Oryzias latipes: one gene and its partners. The protein of the gene in region 1 binds, or shares a complex with, the protein of each later gene. Links are inferred from orthologs where the notes say so. Each region holds a gene or a part of one and is shown in the gene's direction. Other genes may lie near its edges. The genes, in order: circadian locomoter output cycles protein kaput, aryl hydrocarbon receptor nuclear translocator-like protein 1 and CLOCK-interacting pacemaker.

Evidence for each region.
Region 2: the proteins of circadian locomoter output cycles protein kaput (region 1) and aryl hydrocarbon receptor nuclear translocator-like protein 1 are in contact, whole or in part, in a crystal structure (PDB 4F3L), measured with the Mus musculus proteins. The link is inferred for Oryzias latipes from reciprocal best matches to the Homo sapiens genes CLOCK and BMAL1. Residues at the interface, in NP_001276755.1 of Mus musculus: Arg46, Gln49, Phe50, Leu53, Ile54, Glu56, Leu57, Met60, Leu61, Pro62, Lys70, Ser71, Leu74, Gln75, Ser77, Ile78, Phe80, Leu81, Arg82, His84, Lys85, Thr88, Glu95, Ile96, Gln98, Asp99, Trp100, Pro102, Phe104, Leu105; in XP_030097882.1 of Mus musculus: Lys70, Met71, Phe74, Ile75, Glu77, Leu78, Ser80, Leu81, Val82, Asp93, Leu95, Leu98, Arg99, Ala101, Val102, His104, Met105, Lys106, Leu108, Arg109, Gly110, Ala118, Tyr120, Lys121, Pro122, Phe124, Leu125, Asp127, Asp128, Glu129.
Region 3: the proteins of circadian locomoter output cycles protein kaput (region 1) and CLOCK-interacting pacemaker are in contact, whole or in part, in a crystal structure (PDB 5VJI), measured with the Mus musculus proteins. The link is inferred for Oryzias latipes from reciprocal best matches to the Homo sapiens genes CLOCK and CIPC. Residues at the interface, in NP_001276755.1 of Mus musculus: Gln519, Leu526, Lys527, Leu530, Arg533, Ile537, Asn540, Ile541, Arg543, Gln544, Glu547, Leu548, Ile551, Gln554, Leu555, Val558; in XP_006515773.1 of Mus musculus: Asn401, Thr402, Val405, Leu406, Ser409, Leu411, Ile414, Thr415, Thr418, Leu421, Ile422, Asn425, Thr428, Gln429, Leu432, Leu435, Lys436, Thr439, Gln440, Phe442, Ile443, Thr446.

What each region holds. Positions count from the first base shown.
Region 1 is NC_019859.2:11,192,560-11,197,761, reverse strand, and holds the start of circadian locomoter output cycles protein kaput, read left to right. Parts: upstream 1-2,068; 5' UTR 2,069-2,320; exon of another isoform or gene 2,321-2,360; intron 2,361-2,421; exon of another isoform or gene 2,422-2,549; intron 2,550-2,576; exon of another isoform or gene 2,577-3,052; intron 3,053-4,448; 5' UTR 4,449-4,518; intron 4,519-5,101; 5' UTR 5,102-5,202. UniProt on the Homo sapiens protein: Transcriptional activator which forms a core component of the circadian clock.
Region 2 is NC_019864.2:422,581-427,807, reverse strand, and holds the start of aryl hydrocarbon receptor nuclear translocator-like protein 1, read left to right. Parts: upstream 1-1,902; 5' UTR 1,903-2,390; intron 2,391-5,227. UniProt on the Homo sapiens protein: Transcriptional activator which forms a core component of the circadian clock.
Region 3 is NC_019882.2:1,940,623-1,946,030, forward strand, and holds the start of CLOCK-interacting pacemaker, read left to right. Parts: upstream 1-2,277; 5' UTR 2,278-2,431; intron 2,432-2,921; 5' UTR 2,922-2,923; coding exon 2,924-3,032; intron 3,033-3,111; coding exon 3,112-3,290; intron 3,291-4,049; coding exon 4,050-4,886; 3' UTR 4,887-5,408.

The sequences.
Region 1 (5,202 bases):
TCCTGAGGAGGGCAGTATCGTTGTGGGAATAACAAAGGCTGACGTTAAGGAACTTAGAAAACAAAAAATAAACAAAAACTCTGACTAAAGTTGCCCTGTTTTAGCCTATTTTGTGAAAATTTCTTTCAACCTAATATTAAATAAAAAAAAATTGTGTTTAAGGAATTTAATAAATATTGATCCAAAATCTAAATGATCAGAAAGTACGAACTATTAAAAATAAAAACAGATACTAATCTAAAATATACGATACAAAGCTTAAATAAAAGGAATAAAAAGTGGATTAAATTAAAATAGATATATTTGAGACAAAAGATCAAAATTAATAAAATTAAGATATGAAACAGTCAGAATTATTTTATTATGCTTCTTGAAAGGAATAAATAAATAAGTATGAGAAAGAATTACTGTGAAACTATAAGATAAACAGTCTGCTATGATTGTGTCATATGAGGTTGTGCAAGTTATTCCACAAAAAGCTTTGATTAATTAAAAAAAAGTTGAACTTGTGAGATAAAAGTCTAAATGATGGGATACCCATGAACAACTCTTTGGTAAAAAGGTAAGATCTATGCTGTAGCCTCTTGGCAAAACATTTTTGGTGCATTGTAAGTTTGCAAATCTTTATAATTTATGATCAAAACATGGATGTTTGGTAGACATGTACCGGTTTTGAACTGAGAATTAAACTCTGAGGGATTCAGTTACAATCAATGTAATAATTACCTGAATACAGTCCTGTAAAAATGATGTCTAGTAATGCTTTTAGAACACGTCCAATTCTGGATTAAACATTTCCACAAAATGTTTTAAACAGATTCGTAAAATTAAAAAAATCTCAAATAAATCTGTAATTCTGCTTTCTGAACATGGAGTCAACCTCATTGTATTGCATGTGCAAAGCCTTTTATTTCATGCTTGTGACTGTCTTGTCTCATACTTTCAGCTTCTGAAACAGTTACTTTGACTTTTTATTTAACATGTTTGTTATTGATCTCAATAATGTTTTTTTTCAGGACACTCTTAGATTATCTTTTCATTTTTTTTAATCGTTTTCATTGTGATATTTTAATTATGACGTTTTTAGCCCAAACAAAAAAATATGCGTTATGTTCTAGGACATATTTTCTTCAGAGCAGCAGTAGTTGTTAAAAGTTTGCCTCCGAGTTAACGACGAGAGTGTTTGCCCTCGGAGTAAGCCCTTCCCCATTTCCCGTCATCCAACACTCTTGCTAGCTCACAACCCCATCCTAACATTACCGGCACAACAAAAATGGCGACAAATATTGGAGCTATCCAGTCGTTCAGTTTTGAGCCAAATGCCAGCTAGGACAAGTGAAAAATACATGAGTCTAGTCATCTAGAGCATGCAGCTTGCCATTGTAGGCTCTATGTCCCACCTACAAGCTTGTTCCTACTGCATTTTTGCGTCTGCTCCTGATTCCCAACAATTTGAATAAAGACAATTCAGAAATCCAATTTTTAGCTTAAGTTACTTTATGCCCACCATCATCAGAAAAATGCCACAAGAGCATGTTCAAAATCAAAGTGGGTTTTTAATCTCATAACCGTTTCTCTTGTAATTTTTAACTTTCCTCTCCCTTTTTAAATTAATAGCAAAATCATCTTTAAAAGTAATCATTATGATTTATTTTCCTATATTTATCATTTTAAAATTGATGCATTCAACTTTCCATCTTGTTGTAAAGACTTATTCATACGTCAACCTAAACTTTCTATTATTAAACTAATCTCATATATATGTTTTCATTTTTTGTAATTGTGTTTTTTATTTGTATTTTGTTTTTGTTTTTATCTTAGAAATATGACATACCTTAAAACTGTTTATGTATTTCAGTGGCTGTAAACTAATTCTATAAAAACACAAGCACAACATGCTGCATAAAAGTGTAGAGAGCCCATTAGTGGTGAAAGGGCCCTGACTTAGTGGGACATAATGTACAGATTCCAGATTACCGGGAAAATGTACATCCTGGACAGTCCCCGCCTCTAATTCTATACGGGGGGGAAAAGAGAAAGAAAGGGAAAAAAAGGAAAAAGCCAAGATGCACAGAGTCAGTCTAGCTCTTGATTTCTAATGAGGGTCATACATCTCTAATGGCATGGGGTGAAATTAATCGAAAGGCGGAATCATATCCCCTTCGAAGATCAGCTGCTGCTTAGGAACGTGCAAAATAGTGCGCCCTACTGTCTCTATTGCGCATGACTGTACGTCGTAATATGAAGTAGGCCTCCTCGCTCCTGTTTTTCTCTCCAACCCCAAGTCCTCCTGGCCCCACCACTTCGATTCAACGCTCAAGTAAGAAAGGCACGGAGGCTATAGTCGAGTTTTCGTGAAGGTAAAAGATTTTGATGCATTTATTATGTTGGCGGCTCATTGTGCGGCTGTTAAGAAGATAGATATATTTTGTGTGCGGAAGCGTTGGGACTGCGGGACTGTTTCCGCACGCTCGAGAGAGAGCAAGGCCCAGTGACCCACATTTGAGCAGCCAGTATCAGTGGGCGAGCGCGTGCACGTTTTCTCATCGGTGAGTGTCTATGCGCGGGCATGGCGGCTGAGTATGTGTGTAAATACATCTGCCGCGAAAATATTTCCACCTTCGGTGGTTTGGAGCGTTTGTCACGCGGTCGTATTTGGGTTTTTGCCGGTTTCCTTGATAACTAGCAGCGCTGTTGGTATTGAAGCTAAGTTTGTGTCTTTCACTCACTCAGTGGAGCAAAAGCTGTGTTTTTGGAGATTATTATTTTGTCTTCAATGTCAGTTGTTGTTGCGTGACAGCTCCAGGCGCGGCGTCAGCTTAACTTAAAGGGAAAAAAACTGAGCTCTGTTTAATTTTTACTTTATTTCGCGTGTCGTAAAGCCTTCACCTCTCCTTTAGTGTTTTCGGCTGTTAGCAGGCTACGACAAGGACATTGGGAGAATTAAACATCTCAGTCAAACGGTCACTTTTTGGCTCTAGCTTAGTTAGCTTGCTAGCTAGCTACATGGGTTGCTCCTCCGATTGTATAACGACACCTGTGGCATTAAAAGGTACGTTGAATATGGCTCTCCTCTAGTTTTTCTTTTAAATATCCTTCCGCCTCAACAACTGACAACAACAACAACACGTCAAGCTACATGTCACCGTTTAATTCGTAAACGAAGAAGCTTAGCTGAGGCTCTTCACTGCTAATGTGGCTGTGGATCTCGAATCAAAGCCCAAAATACATTTAAAAAAAAAAAAAAAAGCAAATTAAAGTAGAATCTGGCTTGTTGATGACCTTTTCTGCTCGCTTTTTAATGTAGCCACTTTTGACCTTCCTGCCCACTCGTATTTTTGAGTCATCTCATTGAGTCACTGTATCATCCAAAGAAAATCTATTTTCTGGTAGCTGGTGGGACGAATTCATTATTCAAAAATACGTTCTATTTCAACTTATTTATTATATACCAACATTTCTTATTTGTGGTGTCTAAGTTTAACAGTTTTCTTCATTTTTATGAAATATGACTGAGTTTTTGGATTTAAAAAAAGCTATTTTAAGCTTGATTATGTATAAACTGCTAAATAGAAAGTAGTTTTTTTTTTTTTTAAAGACATGCACATTTTCATGTTTGTTTTGACATTTTATCGTTTATTGTGAATAGAATGCAAGGCTGTCATGTCTGAGAAGCTTTATAGGTCGTTATTAGCTAGGTCAAAACCTCAGCAACACCATCTGGATATGTATAGATGGTTGTTTTGACCAGTTTGCTTCGGATCATGACCTTTTCTAGTCATTCATCAAGCAACTTGTTGGTACTTGTAGGTCAAATAAATTTGCCCACACGTACTGTGAATGGTTTTTGAAGATCCCTGCTCTCTAAAATTAGGCGAACTTGGGTCAAAATCTCTTTTGCGGCGATTAAGTCGTTTTCTGTTGCACGCACAAATGTTTCCTGTTCATTTTTAAAGTATTAGTGTGTCTGTTCAGATTCTAGTCTCCAATTGGCCTAATAACCGGTATGGCTTGTACATGAAACTGGCATGGCAAACAGATTTCAGAAGGAGAGCTTATTGTGTCAGTTTAAGCCAGATATTTTTTTTTCATGCAATTAGGATTTTTACCACTTAAAAAAGATCGACTCATTATCAGTGATAGAGCTTGATGAACTGAAATGTTTGCAATAACAGTAACCTTAAAACTAGCAGAGCTAAAGGTAAAAACGAAAGGTCGTGGAGTTGTAGTCTATTATTTTGGCAGCACAAACTTGTTGGAAATGTGCCAATGAGACTTGACACCATAAATATTCCTAAAATTTCTGTGGCTTCCAGTGAATTCACTTGCATACATTTCATATATTTTTATTCTCCTTAACTTAAGCTAGTCTAAAGATGGGTGTTAAACATTGATTGAATTCTCGGGTCATGTTGGTAATAAATTAGACCGTTTGTGTTGTGTTGCAGGTTAAATGCGTGGATTTCTCTTTCCTGGAAGGCTATCAGCAAGTTTCCCCTCCGTTGGACATTCCAGAGGGTAGGTTTAAAAAAAAAAAAAAGTACAAGGATGTGGAGGGGTCCCTATAGTGTTAGGCCTAGATTTGTCTGGCTGGACAAATGAGCAAAATAGCTCTACGTCTCCAGTTTCAACAAATGCTGAAATTGCACTGAACTACAAACACAGATGCAACTAGTTCATGCCAGTAATGGTCAAAACAGCCTACCAGTGCTGTAAGTTTGCACCAGACCAGCTCTTTGCCAGCTGAAAGAATCTTAAAGAATCAGAAACAGTAAGTGCCAGTCAGGCAGATTGAAGAAAATGAATGCAAGGTTTGTAAAGACAGAAAATAAAAAAGGCATCACTTGAATAATCAACCTGACAGAAATGTGTAATTTGAAAGCTTAAATTCAATGATTTAGGATATCTTGTTTGTAAAGCCTACCCAACATGGTGAGCTAGCATTTGGGCTAAATCTGAGTCATGAAACTGGGTGTTGTGAAAAAAAGGATCCTCTCTAGAAAGCCACATTTCAGTAGAGACTAAATACATTAGACAGTTTTTAGTTCCACGCGTCTGTTTTGACCTATTTTCTTCTATTCTATTATCGTTTCTTCTGCAGTTTTGATTGACCACCCTAACTTTCTTGTGGTCGGTTTTCCATTCATGAGCCAATGACCTCAACACTAAAGATCACCATTGAGTCGGCCTTGACCTCGATCC
Region 2 (5,227 bases), on another chromosome or scaffold:
TTCCTAACCAGTTTGTTGAGCTTCCTCCTGTCTCTGTACTGCCCCCCGCCCAGCACACAACTCCATAAAGGACCACTGAGGCCCCCACAGTGTCATAGATAGAAAGGCCTGAGCAGCTGTCTGCACACACCAAACGATCTCAGTCTCTCAGCAGATGAAGCATCCTTGTTGTTGGACCAGTCCAGTCTGTTATTGAGGTGAACATCCAGATATTTAAATGTGTCCACGACCTCAATGTCTGAACCCTGGATGGTCACCGGTGACTGTGATGGTGAGGACCTCCTGAAGTCCAGGACCAGCTCCTTTGTCTTGCTGGTGTTAAGCAGCAGGTGGTTAACTTCACACCAGCTAACAAAGTCAGAGATGGCCCCCCCCCTGAAACACAGCCCCCAATAGCACCGTTATCTGAAAACTTCTGCAGGTGTCAGAGGTGGGAGTTGTAGGTGAAGTCCTATGTGTACAGAGTGAACAGGAGAGAGGACAGCACAGTCCCTTGAGGTTGAGTCCCTCGCCTGTGGGCGGCCGTGGTGCAGTGGTAGGGCGGTCGACTCATGATCGTAAGATTGCAGGTTCGATTCCCGCCTTGCACGCCCATGTGCCGAAGCGTCCTTGGGCAAGACACTGAACCCCACCTTGCCTCTGGTGGGAGGTTGGCGCCAGTGTTTGGCAGCGGAGCCGCCATCAGTGTGTGAATGTGTGTGTGCATGGGTGAATGGGACTGTGACATTAAAGCGCTTTGGGCCTTCGTAAGAAGGTAGAAAGCGCTATATAAGTATACGCCATTTACCATTTACCATTTGCCCCACAAACTCCTATTCAAGGAGGCTAGGATTCCCCGATCAAAGCAAGGAGCCAGACCCAGGAGATCCCACTGCAGCGACCCTGTTCACCGAGAAGATCCAATCCCCGATGTGGAGGATCCGTCTGAGGAAAACACTGGAGCTAAAACTAAATGTAAAAGGAATCAAATACATAAAAGTGAAAAAGGTTGTCAATCAAATGAATAAACAGTCAATCGTTGACAATGCATTAAAAAGATAAATTCAAAGAAGTAAAAACAGAAGTGACATTAAAAAAATTCAATATCTAAAAAGATCCTACATTTCAGCCAAATTAAAAAAGGGAGGTGTTGAGCCTTCCTTTAAAAACATGAACAGTGTCCGTGACCCTGAGGTTCTCTGGGAGGATGTTCCACAGAAAAGATCCATAAAAACGGAACGAGGCCTCGCCGTGGGTTTTAGTTCTGGCTTTTGGAAGAACTGAGAGGCTAGTATCAGAGGACCTCAAGGTCTGCAGGGGCTCTTCTGTAAAATCAAATCAGAAAGATAGGATGGCCAACACCAAAAAAACATTTAGAAACCTATAAAAGAACTTTTGTTCTTTTGAGCCAACAATGTGTTGTTTTAAACTTCCAGCTGCTACTTTTACAGCTTTTTGAAGCAAAAAAGCAAATAGGTAGTTTTAAACAATACTAACATGTTTTATTGCATCAAAGTCAGAAACATCTTATATTTAAAATGCATATTCATTGGGTTAGTATTTATTTTCAAACTGACCATTTAAACAATAAACATTAATTCACTTTTCCTTCTTTGAAGGGATCAATTACCGTATGACAAGCATAAGTTTAGTAATACAAGTCTTTTTTTATTGTTAATCTAGAAATGGCATCATTACTATTTATGGCCAGAAGAGGGAGTGAAAGTATAAAGTCAACTTGTCTAAATCTGTAAATCTAAACTAGGTTTTTTTCTTTGAAGGCTCCTCAAATATTTTTCCGGCAACTATTTCTAATTTAAAAAAATGCTTGAACTCAAGTAATGATGACTTTAATGGAAATCATTTTTTTAGATGAACACAATCAATAAAAACAGATACTGACTTAAAATGTTTTGTTACTTTACTCCTTGAATTATGTTCAGTTTTTATCTTCTGTCCACCTGATGTATCCGTAATTCTGTTAAATTAGTTGACATTTCATGTGTGATTTTTTTATCTTTCTTTGTTTTATTTTATTTTTTTTGGCTCGGGACCAGTAAGTGTTACGAGCGTACTTGCTCTCGGCTTGGTTCAGTCTTTTCCTTTTCACACACACAGACGCACACATAACTGGCCCCTGCATTCCTAGGCTAATTCTCCTCTCATTGGTCAATCAGCACGTCAATCATGGTTCTCCAGACTAAGCTTGCGTTTGATTGGTCGGAGGAATACCCAGTGCCAATGAGCAAACGCTATTGGCTGAAAAACTAGGTTAGTGGTCCGACAGGCATGACGGTGAAAAGAAAGTGGGTCACCGATTGAAAATCGTTTATGTCACAGTTCTTCTGTGTGTCTCTACTGCTTTCTCACCGGCGGCTGTCCATGGATCCACGGGTCACTCCGGGCGGTCTGTAAGTACTAATTGAGGGCGAGCGAACGCTTTGTCTTTTTGTGTGACTCGGCTGGGTTTAAATCACGGTGGAGATCTTCGATGTTTTCCCGGCGCTGTGCAGTCATGTCAGCGGGAGCTCGGCGGCCAAGTCTCGGAGTTAGCGTTCCGTAGTTAGCAGCTGTGTGCTAATATTAGCTCGCTAAGATGACTTTGTGTTCTGGATTACGGGAGCAGAAGCCGCCGGGCTTTTGGTGCGGGCTCGTTCTTTGCCAGCTATTGTCGGGCTACGAAGAGGCTCCGGGACGGGGAAGCACCGGCCCGTGAGCTGGATAACGCTGCCCAGGCGTGACCGAGCGGCGGACGGTCAACCGCGGCCACCGCGCTAGCAGGCTAACGATGTAAAAAAAAAAAAAAGGCCGGGACTGGGGCTCGGCGCACGGTTTCTTCGACAGCATCCAACCTGCTGCTGCAATTTCCTAGAACCACATCTGTCCGCAGAGAACCGAACGGAACCGAGCGGACCCGCTTGTTGTCGCAACCCCACGCCACGCGCGTGCGTCTTCTGAAGTGTTCGTGCTGGAATTCATTGGCAGAGAGTGATGGATGTCGCTGTGGCTCCGGAGCAGCCGGGGTTCCCCGGTCTGAGCCCCGCCACAGGGTTTGACTGCGGAGGGACCCCGCTGGTCTCCCACCCCAACTCACTGGGGACTCGGCGGTCTGTGGTTCGATTCCTTCCTCATCATCGTGCTGCAACCATCAAGCTTGTATTCTTACGGTTCAATCAGAGCTGAGTAGACGGGATCCATATATTGAAATGTTTGTTTTTTTCAGTTGACGTCTTTTGACTGTCCGTCTCGAGTCAGGCTCGTGCCTCCCTTTCCTGCTGCTCAGCCGGCATCAGTCTCGGCGGGTCTACCGTTCGGTACCGGGCTCGTCGTGGTTCTGACTGGACCTCAGACGTGACGCTGCAGCTGCTTTGGTGCTGATCTTCACGATAGCATCTAGAAAGCAGCAGCAGCAGCTTGTGATGACTCAGCAAAAGCTGCTCTCTCTCTTGTCTGAGCCGCTGTTTACACCAAACTGCACATGAAAATTAAACCAAGGAGAAGTTCTGAAGTGTTTCTGTCATCAGACATTCTTCTGGAGAATCATGTGGTTTTGTTGGTCTGCAGGAATATTCATTTGAAGGGTATTATTCCTCAAGTCTTTTAATTTCACTCAACATTTTTAATGTAAACAATGTAAACTGTGGGATTTGGATCAAAAACGTCCAAATAACCTCCGCTGCCACACGAGGCTCTTTTAGCCATGGATAAAGGGCTAAAGTCAGTCTGGATAAAGAAACAATAAAGTAGTACAGTAGGGCTAAAAAGTAGACTAACTCAAACTTTATTCAACTCATTCACAGATGTGGAAATACAGAACAGACTGAAACATTTTGACAGGTTTATGCTCCACAGAAACTCAAGTAAAGATGGGTGATCACAACCGGAGTTGAGGTGTAGTGGTTCCTAAGTCAGATTTTCTTTTTCTTTCTTTTAACAACTTCAAGGATTTTAAGTGCACCGGATAGTTAAAAATACATTAAGGATTTCTTAATTGGCTCTGATTTAATTTTGATTAGTTAGTTTTTCACATTTCTGGCTGTACCACAAACATTAAAATCAACAGTGTTTTTTAAAATCCTCTTGACATTATACTACAATTACACTAAATCTGCTGCATTGAGATGATTTAATGACACGGGGTGTTTTTTATTTTGAAAGGAAGTCATTTTAAACTCTGTCAAAAGTGATACACCACTTCATATTTAGAAAATATGAAATCCTAGCTTTAAGTTTTATTTATGCAACAGTCGATCTATATATATCATAATAACAACAAGAACCTAAATATAAATGTTTTATTTTCTTAAAGGGTGAAGTCAGACTTTGTGGCGTTTATTGGGTTGTGGTCAGCAACAAATGGACCTGAATGGCTCTTAAGTGTTGAAGCTTGTAGAGGGGCGGCCGTGTTGCAGTGATAGGGCGGTCGTCCCATGATCGTAAGGTTGCAGGTTCGATTCCCGCCTTGCACGCCCATGTGTCGAAGTGTCCTTGGGCAAGACACTAAACCACACCTTGCCTCTGGTGGGAGGCGGGCGCCAGTGTGTGAATGTGTGTGTGACTGGGTGAATGGGTCTGTGACTGTAAAGCACTTTGTCATTGTAGGAAGAAAGGCACTATATAAGTATACGCCATTTACCATTTACCCCTGACTTTGCATGTTCTGACTCTGTGACAAAGACTTTTGTGAAAGATGACTAAGGTATTTAAAAAAAATGCATTAGTCTTGTTTTTGTTCAAGATGTGCCATACATTTTAGAACAATGCACCTATGCATTTTTATTTAAAAGGCTATGGTGTTAAGCTGGAGAGGCACTAAAGTGAGTCAGCTGAAATTCTAGCAGATTGGATTTGAAAAGGCAAACTTTGGAGGGTTTCATAAAGAAAATGTAGGGTAATAATAAGGCGTTAATGACGTAACAGTTGGCTTCGGACAGAGCAAATGTCCACCAATATCACGCTGGTCATCATAACACTGACTTAATGAAAAGTAATTAGTTTGTCCTGCTAGTCTAGAAAATGACTGAATAAAATAAAGACTTTCTGTGGGAAACCACACATGTTCACATAAAGCAGGAAAAAGTGACTCAGCATTAAACATAGAATCACTTTTAGATCATTTCCAGGAATTGAGTGACATATGTGATCTTTGGAGATGCAGTAGGTAGCTGCTTTTTTTTTATATATATATAATTTATGCTTAATTAAAGAAATGTCCAGCAATTCTTTTGCATTGTTTAAATAAGATTTT
Region 3 (5,408 bases), on another chromosome or scaffold:
ATTTTCAAGTTTTCCATTGGAAATTACGACAAACTGGACAGTTTTGTGCAATCTTCACCTCGGATTGATTAGTATTTTACGTAAATCGCGCAGCTGCACAGAAAGGCAGGAGAAGAATACAACATCCTCCAAACTTCCCTTGTGACTGATGTTTCAATTCTTCATCTGTTTTCAGCTCCTGATGGATAAAGTCTCTTTGGCATAAACTTCTCTTGTTGTCGCCTTGATCAACGTGACAAAATGCGCTCGTAAATGTACACTGTCCCAGGCGTAGATGAAACTATGTTGACCAATCGTTGCTAAGAGTGGCGTAACGTCATCATTTGGGTTGCCAGATTGGGTCAGGTGTGTGGAAGGGGGCGATCATTAAAGTGCAGCCAACTTTCTTTTGCACAACATTCAGAGCGCACGTTGGTACGGACGCGCTATGAAATGGGTGGCCAGATTTGGCTCTTTTTAATTTTTTTCGCCACTTCGGGGCCCTGGTGGTGGCGGGGGCCCTACGGGGCTGCGTATTTCGCGTATAGGGAGGGCCGGCCATGCTGCAACGGCCTCTCCTCGAACAGAAGTGGTGAAACGCTGCAAATGCACCTTTAAATCACAGACAGAGCCGTCAGGATTCAACCCACGGGAATAATAACATTGACCTGAGCCACTGGCATAAACAAATGAGAGAAAATACCAAGAAAATTCACACAAAATGAGGGGAGATCATTGCAAAACAGCAGATCAGATTCTTATGTCAACTATTACATCTTTTTTATATTATTTCTTTGCTGTTATTATGTCTAAATCCTCTGAGAGGCGCACTTGCATCTGAAATATCTATCAAAGAAAATTCAGTTGGACACACACTGTGTGTTTTTCCTGTTCTCCCACATTAATGGGATTATTACAGAAAATATCAAAGACAGAAGAAAACAACCATATGTGTAACAGAGATGCTCACATTTGAATCCCTGGCCCTCGATTTCAGTCTTTATCTCCTCTTTCCAGGTCAGTTTTCACCTGCAAGGATGTGGGAGTCAGTTTGTTTCTCAGCCACCAGGGGGAGCTATGTGACTGACAGATGAAAGCCAAAAAGTTCCTTTCTGTTCAGGTTTTGATGCCAAAATACAAGCATTTTGAACAGAAACTTCTCGTATTTTTTAAATTTAATTCATCTCAATGTCTTCTGCAAGGTAAAATCCTCCATAAATAAATAAAGATTCAAAACATTTCCGATTCTGCTGCTGACAAACTCAACAAAACATCCCTCTGCAGGATTTTCTTGCTCAAAAGTTAAACAAAAATTAGTAAGTAGTGATAAATAACTACTTAAAATAAGATCAAATTCTCACACAAAGTTAGGTCACATCTGGAGTATTTTCTAACCCATTTCTGTCACTTCTTTTCTTTCAGCAGGTCAGTGAGAAGCAGAAGAGCCGCCTTCAATCTGCCAAGGACAGAAGAGAATAATCAAAGATTTGTTTCATCCTTTACATCTGCAGACCTGCAGTTTAGGACATGTATGATGGGGGCGCTTCTGCAGCTCAGAAATATGAGGCCTCTGACAGTTTACCCAAGGTCTGACGGCCCAAACGTTTAGTCTAAAAAGGACTTCAGAGGAGACAAGGAGATAAGGAATTCTCTAGAAAGTCTTTGCTCTTAAAGTCCACCCACTTAAAGTTACAAACTTCATGAGAGACTTTTGTGTTTTAACCCATTTTTACTGAGATTACATCTGATAATTCTGATTTTTTTTTTAAATGTTGAACACAAAAATAACCAATAGAATGACATTAGAACCCACAAAGTAAGACATTCTAATGTATTTTTGTGTTGTACTGCAATCTTAAATCGATGACTTTATTAAATAAATCAAAGGTTTCCCGTTTTCCTGATTTGTTTTGTGTATTTTATTATTTTTTTATTCGATGTTTGATGTCCTCGCCACACATGGCAGTGGTCACGTTTTCCTGCTGCTTGCGCTGCTGACCAATCAGAAGTCTGGACAACAACAAATGGGCGGACGGTACCGCCTTAAAAATGTGACGTAGCTCGCATTCGCGATGAAGTCACGCCCACACACACCATATTTGGCAGACCGACTTTAACAGATATAATATTTTTAGGTTAGTTTTTTAATTTTTAATTTTTATCGATAAAGATACATATTTATGTAGTGTATGTTTTGTTTTAGTTGAGTTTTAGGGCAAACAATAAAAATAATGGGGACGGTTTTCGCCACGGTGCTCTGCACGTGAATGACCCCGCGAGCAGGGGAGGGGCGGGCTGTCTCGTGTCCGCCACCGTGGGACACTGCGCTTCTGTCTACGGTACTGGGCGGTGCATTAGCCGAGGGAGAGGAGACATCGACGGAAAACCGAAGGCAGGCTCCGGATTCTCCGCTTTTGAAACGAAACGTAGGAACAAAACCTAAAAAAAAGAAGTAAGCTCTTTTTTCTTTTGTCGTTTACTTTATTCCCTCAGATAATTTTGTCCTACTTTATCGCTCGTTAGCTTATTCTTATTGCTAGCTTGTTTCTACTTAGCATAATTCACCCTTATGTATAAACGTTGTTATTCTAATTACTGATAAAACAGTAAAAGAAAATGTTTCGATTTTAGATTCTTTTATCTCTTTGTATTTAAGTATCTGAGCCCCGTAAAACCTACATTTTGCGTCGTAAACTTTGTGCTCGGTACCCGTTAAGCTAATGTTGCTAATGTTCTCCTTGATCTGTTTGTGTTTTAGCTGTCTGTTTATAAAGTAAACGGATTAAAGGAAAATATAGATCAGAGTTTGTAGTTCTATTACCCAAAATTAATATTCGCGATTTCCAAATTAAACATTTTATGCTAATCACCTAAAAACGCACGAGCTAATGCTAAACTTGTTTGTCTAAGTAGGTCACCTCTTGTTTTTCTGATTTTTACAGAGATGAGCACCAAGAGGAAGGCCGCCGGTCACCCGAGGACAGGAGACCGAGTCCACATCATGAAGTCCAGAACCTCTCGGCCGGATTCCGAGAGAGACTCCGGGTTCTCCGGTACCGACTACTTCTTGGCGATTGACGTGTGTGATGCGTCCTTCCAGCTGACTCTCACTTCCGTCTGTCTGTCTCACAGATGCCAGTTCAGAGCAGACGAGCTCCATGGACACCACCGACTCCGAGGATTCCCCTCATCCAGCGGTCAGACAAGGTCACCGGAGTGCCGGGTCAGTGTCCTCTGGGTTGGCTGTGGTGGGGGGGTCCTACTCCAGCCTTTCTCCAATGATCATCATGAACAACGTCCTTCTCAAGCAGGTAACGGACTTTAGCACCAAAAACTTTTTTGAAATATAGGTTTAGTAGTCACTTTTTGGGGTTTGACACTCATGATCACTTTTGTTTTTACTGATCAGCTGGCCATTGTTTTGATTTTATTTCTCTAATACAGCTGAAGTTAGTCCCACGTGGCATGACTAAAGCATTTTGAAATGAAACAAATGGTTTTAAAGAATAAATTTAATTTAGAGCTGAAACAAATGAATGAAAACTTTGTTTTATTTTACGTGTTTTACATTCTGACATGCTTTCAGTTGGTTGTAAATCTTTTCCTTTTTCTTTCATTTCACACTTACTGTGGTTGTAAATGAGCAGGGATGCAAAAAAACTGAGCTTTCATCTCGATGCTTGTCTGCAGTTTAAAAAAAGACCAACTTTGATGAAAATTGTGTTTTCAACATTTTTTTTCTGATGATGGAGGACATATATTAAGGAAAAAAAGGAAAATTCATGAATATTTATTTAGTTAAAATGAAAGGATCACTTTAAAATAGATTAAAAGATGGACAGACTAGGACTGGAAATGCATCCACAACCATTTCAACCGTTTAAACCCAAACTACATCTGATGTTTTTACCCAGATGACGGTTATCAGCGTCACTGAAATGTGAAATGACATGTTTCCTGCACCGGTCAGAGCACAGACTTTGTGATCAGTCACTCCTGTTAGGACTTTCCTTAGACACCCGCAGTTAGACTAATGACTGTTTCTGAAGGTCTCGTTTTTGTCTCCTCAGCCTGCGGATAATCCTCCAGCTATGAAGCCTTGGGGCGTAAATCCCACAGTAAAGGTGGTGCAGCCGGTGGTGCAGCAGCCTCCGTTCGTGTTCATCCAGCCTGTGGTCTCTGGCCAAACCTCCTCCGCTTCCAAAGAGTGCACTTCAAGACGCAAACGCTCCAAGAAGTACCTCCCCATTCTGAAATCCTACCCCAAGATCGCCCCATATCCACGTGACTCCAGTGGTTCTTCCGGGAGAGGAGCTGCTTCCTCTTCCTCGGGGTCAGGGAGGAGCAGTAGCTCCTTGAACTCCAACCAGTGGGAGGCCGGTCAGAGAGAGAAGACTCTGTGTGGCAGCATCTCTGACTCGACCACGCCCGGTCGTCCTGCTACGCCCGGTACCACGTCTCCTCTGCACCAGAGCAGGCCGTCCTTCCAAACCACAGAAACCAGCAGCAGTCCGAGAAGGGAGAAGCCTTCATCAGCTGTCATATCGACTGATGTTCTGACCCCCACCACTGGCTCCAAAGACCCCGCCCTTTCCCGTCTACGTCCGAGCTCCGGGGAAAACAACGACTCCGATCAATGCAGCCTAAGTGACTGTGATTCAGACGCAAAGAGGAAGCGCTTCTGCAACACCTACAACATCCTGAGCAAGTCCGGCCTGCTGGACATCACTCTGCGCACCAAGGAGCTCCTCCGGCAGAACCGGCACACCCAAAGCGACCTGGACCGCCTTAGGGAGCAGACGGACCTCTTCCTCCGCGCTTTGCAGAGCGGCGACGCCAGCTTGCGTCTTCAGCTGCAGGCCAGCCTCCAGGAGGAGGAGCGGGAGAAGGCCGTTCATATGGGCTAAAGAGCTGATCAGAGCTGTGACGGTGTGGCAGGAATCCCTCACACTTAGAGGGAAAGGACCACCGGGGCAGGACCGGGGTGTGTGCACAGACAGATGGGCTGGAAGTAATTAGCCCCGCAGCACGCTCCCGCCCCCGCTGGCAGTGAGGAGTGACCTACATTCAGCTGCTGGTGGCCCTGACACCCAAGGCTTCTCACAGAGGCATCGAACTGCAGACCGTCTGAGACATTTTGACGATTTTTGCCTACAACAAACTCGAGAGGCTCCAGAAAGCAGCTGGATGTACATTTACAGGAAACGTTGGGATTGACTGGAACCTCTGGAAAGAAGAGGAATCCTGCAGGAGTGGAGATCTCTGACCAAACACAGGAGGTTGTTTTCTTTCCACCATAAATGCCTGTTCTGCCCCCCCATCTATGCCAGGAGACCAGACCCGTTACAGGATCTTCCTGCTGCGCTGCTGTTTCTGTCCTCCTGTGCAGCAAAGCACCGCAATAATTTAAAAATTGTAAATCCTTTGGT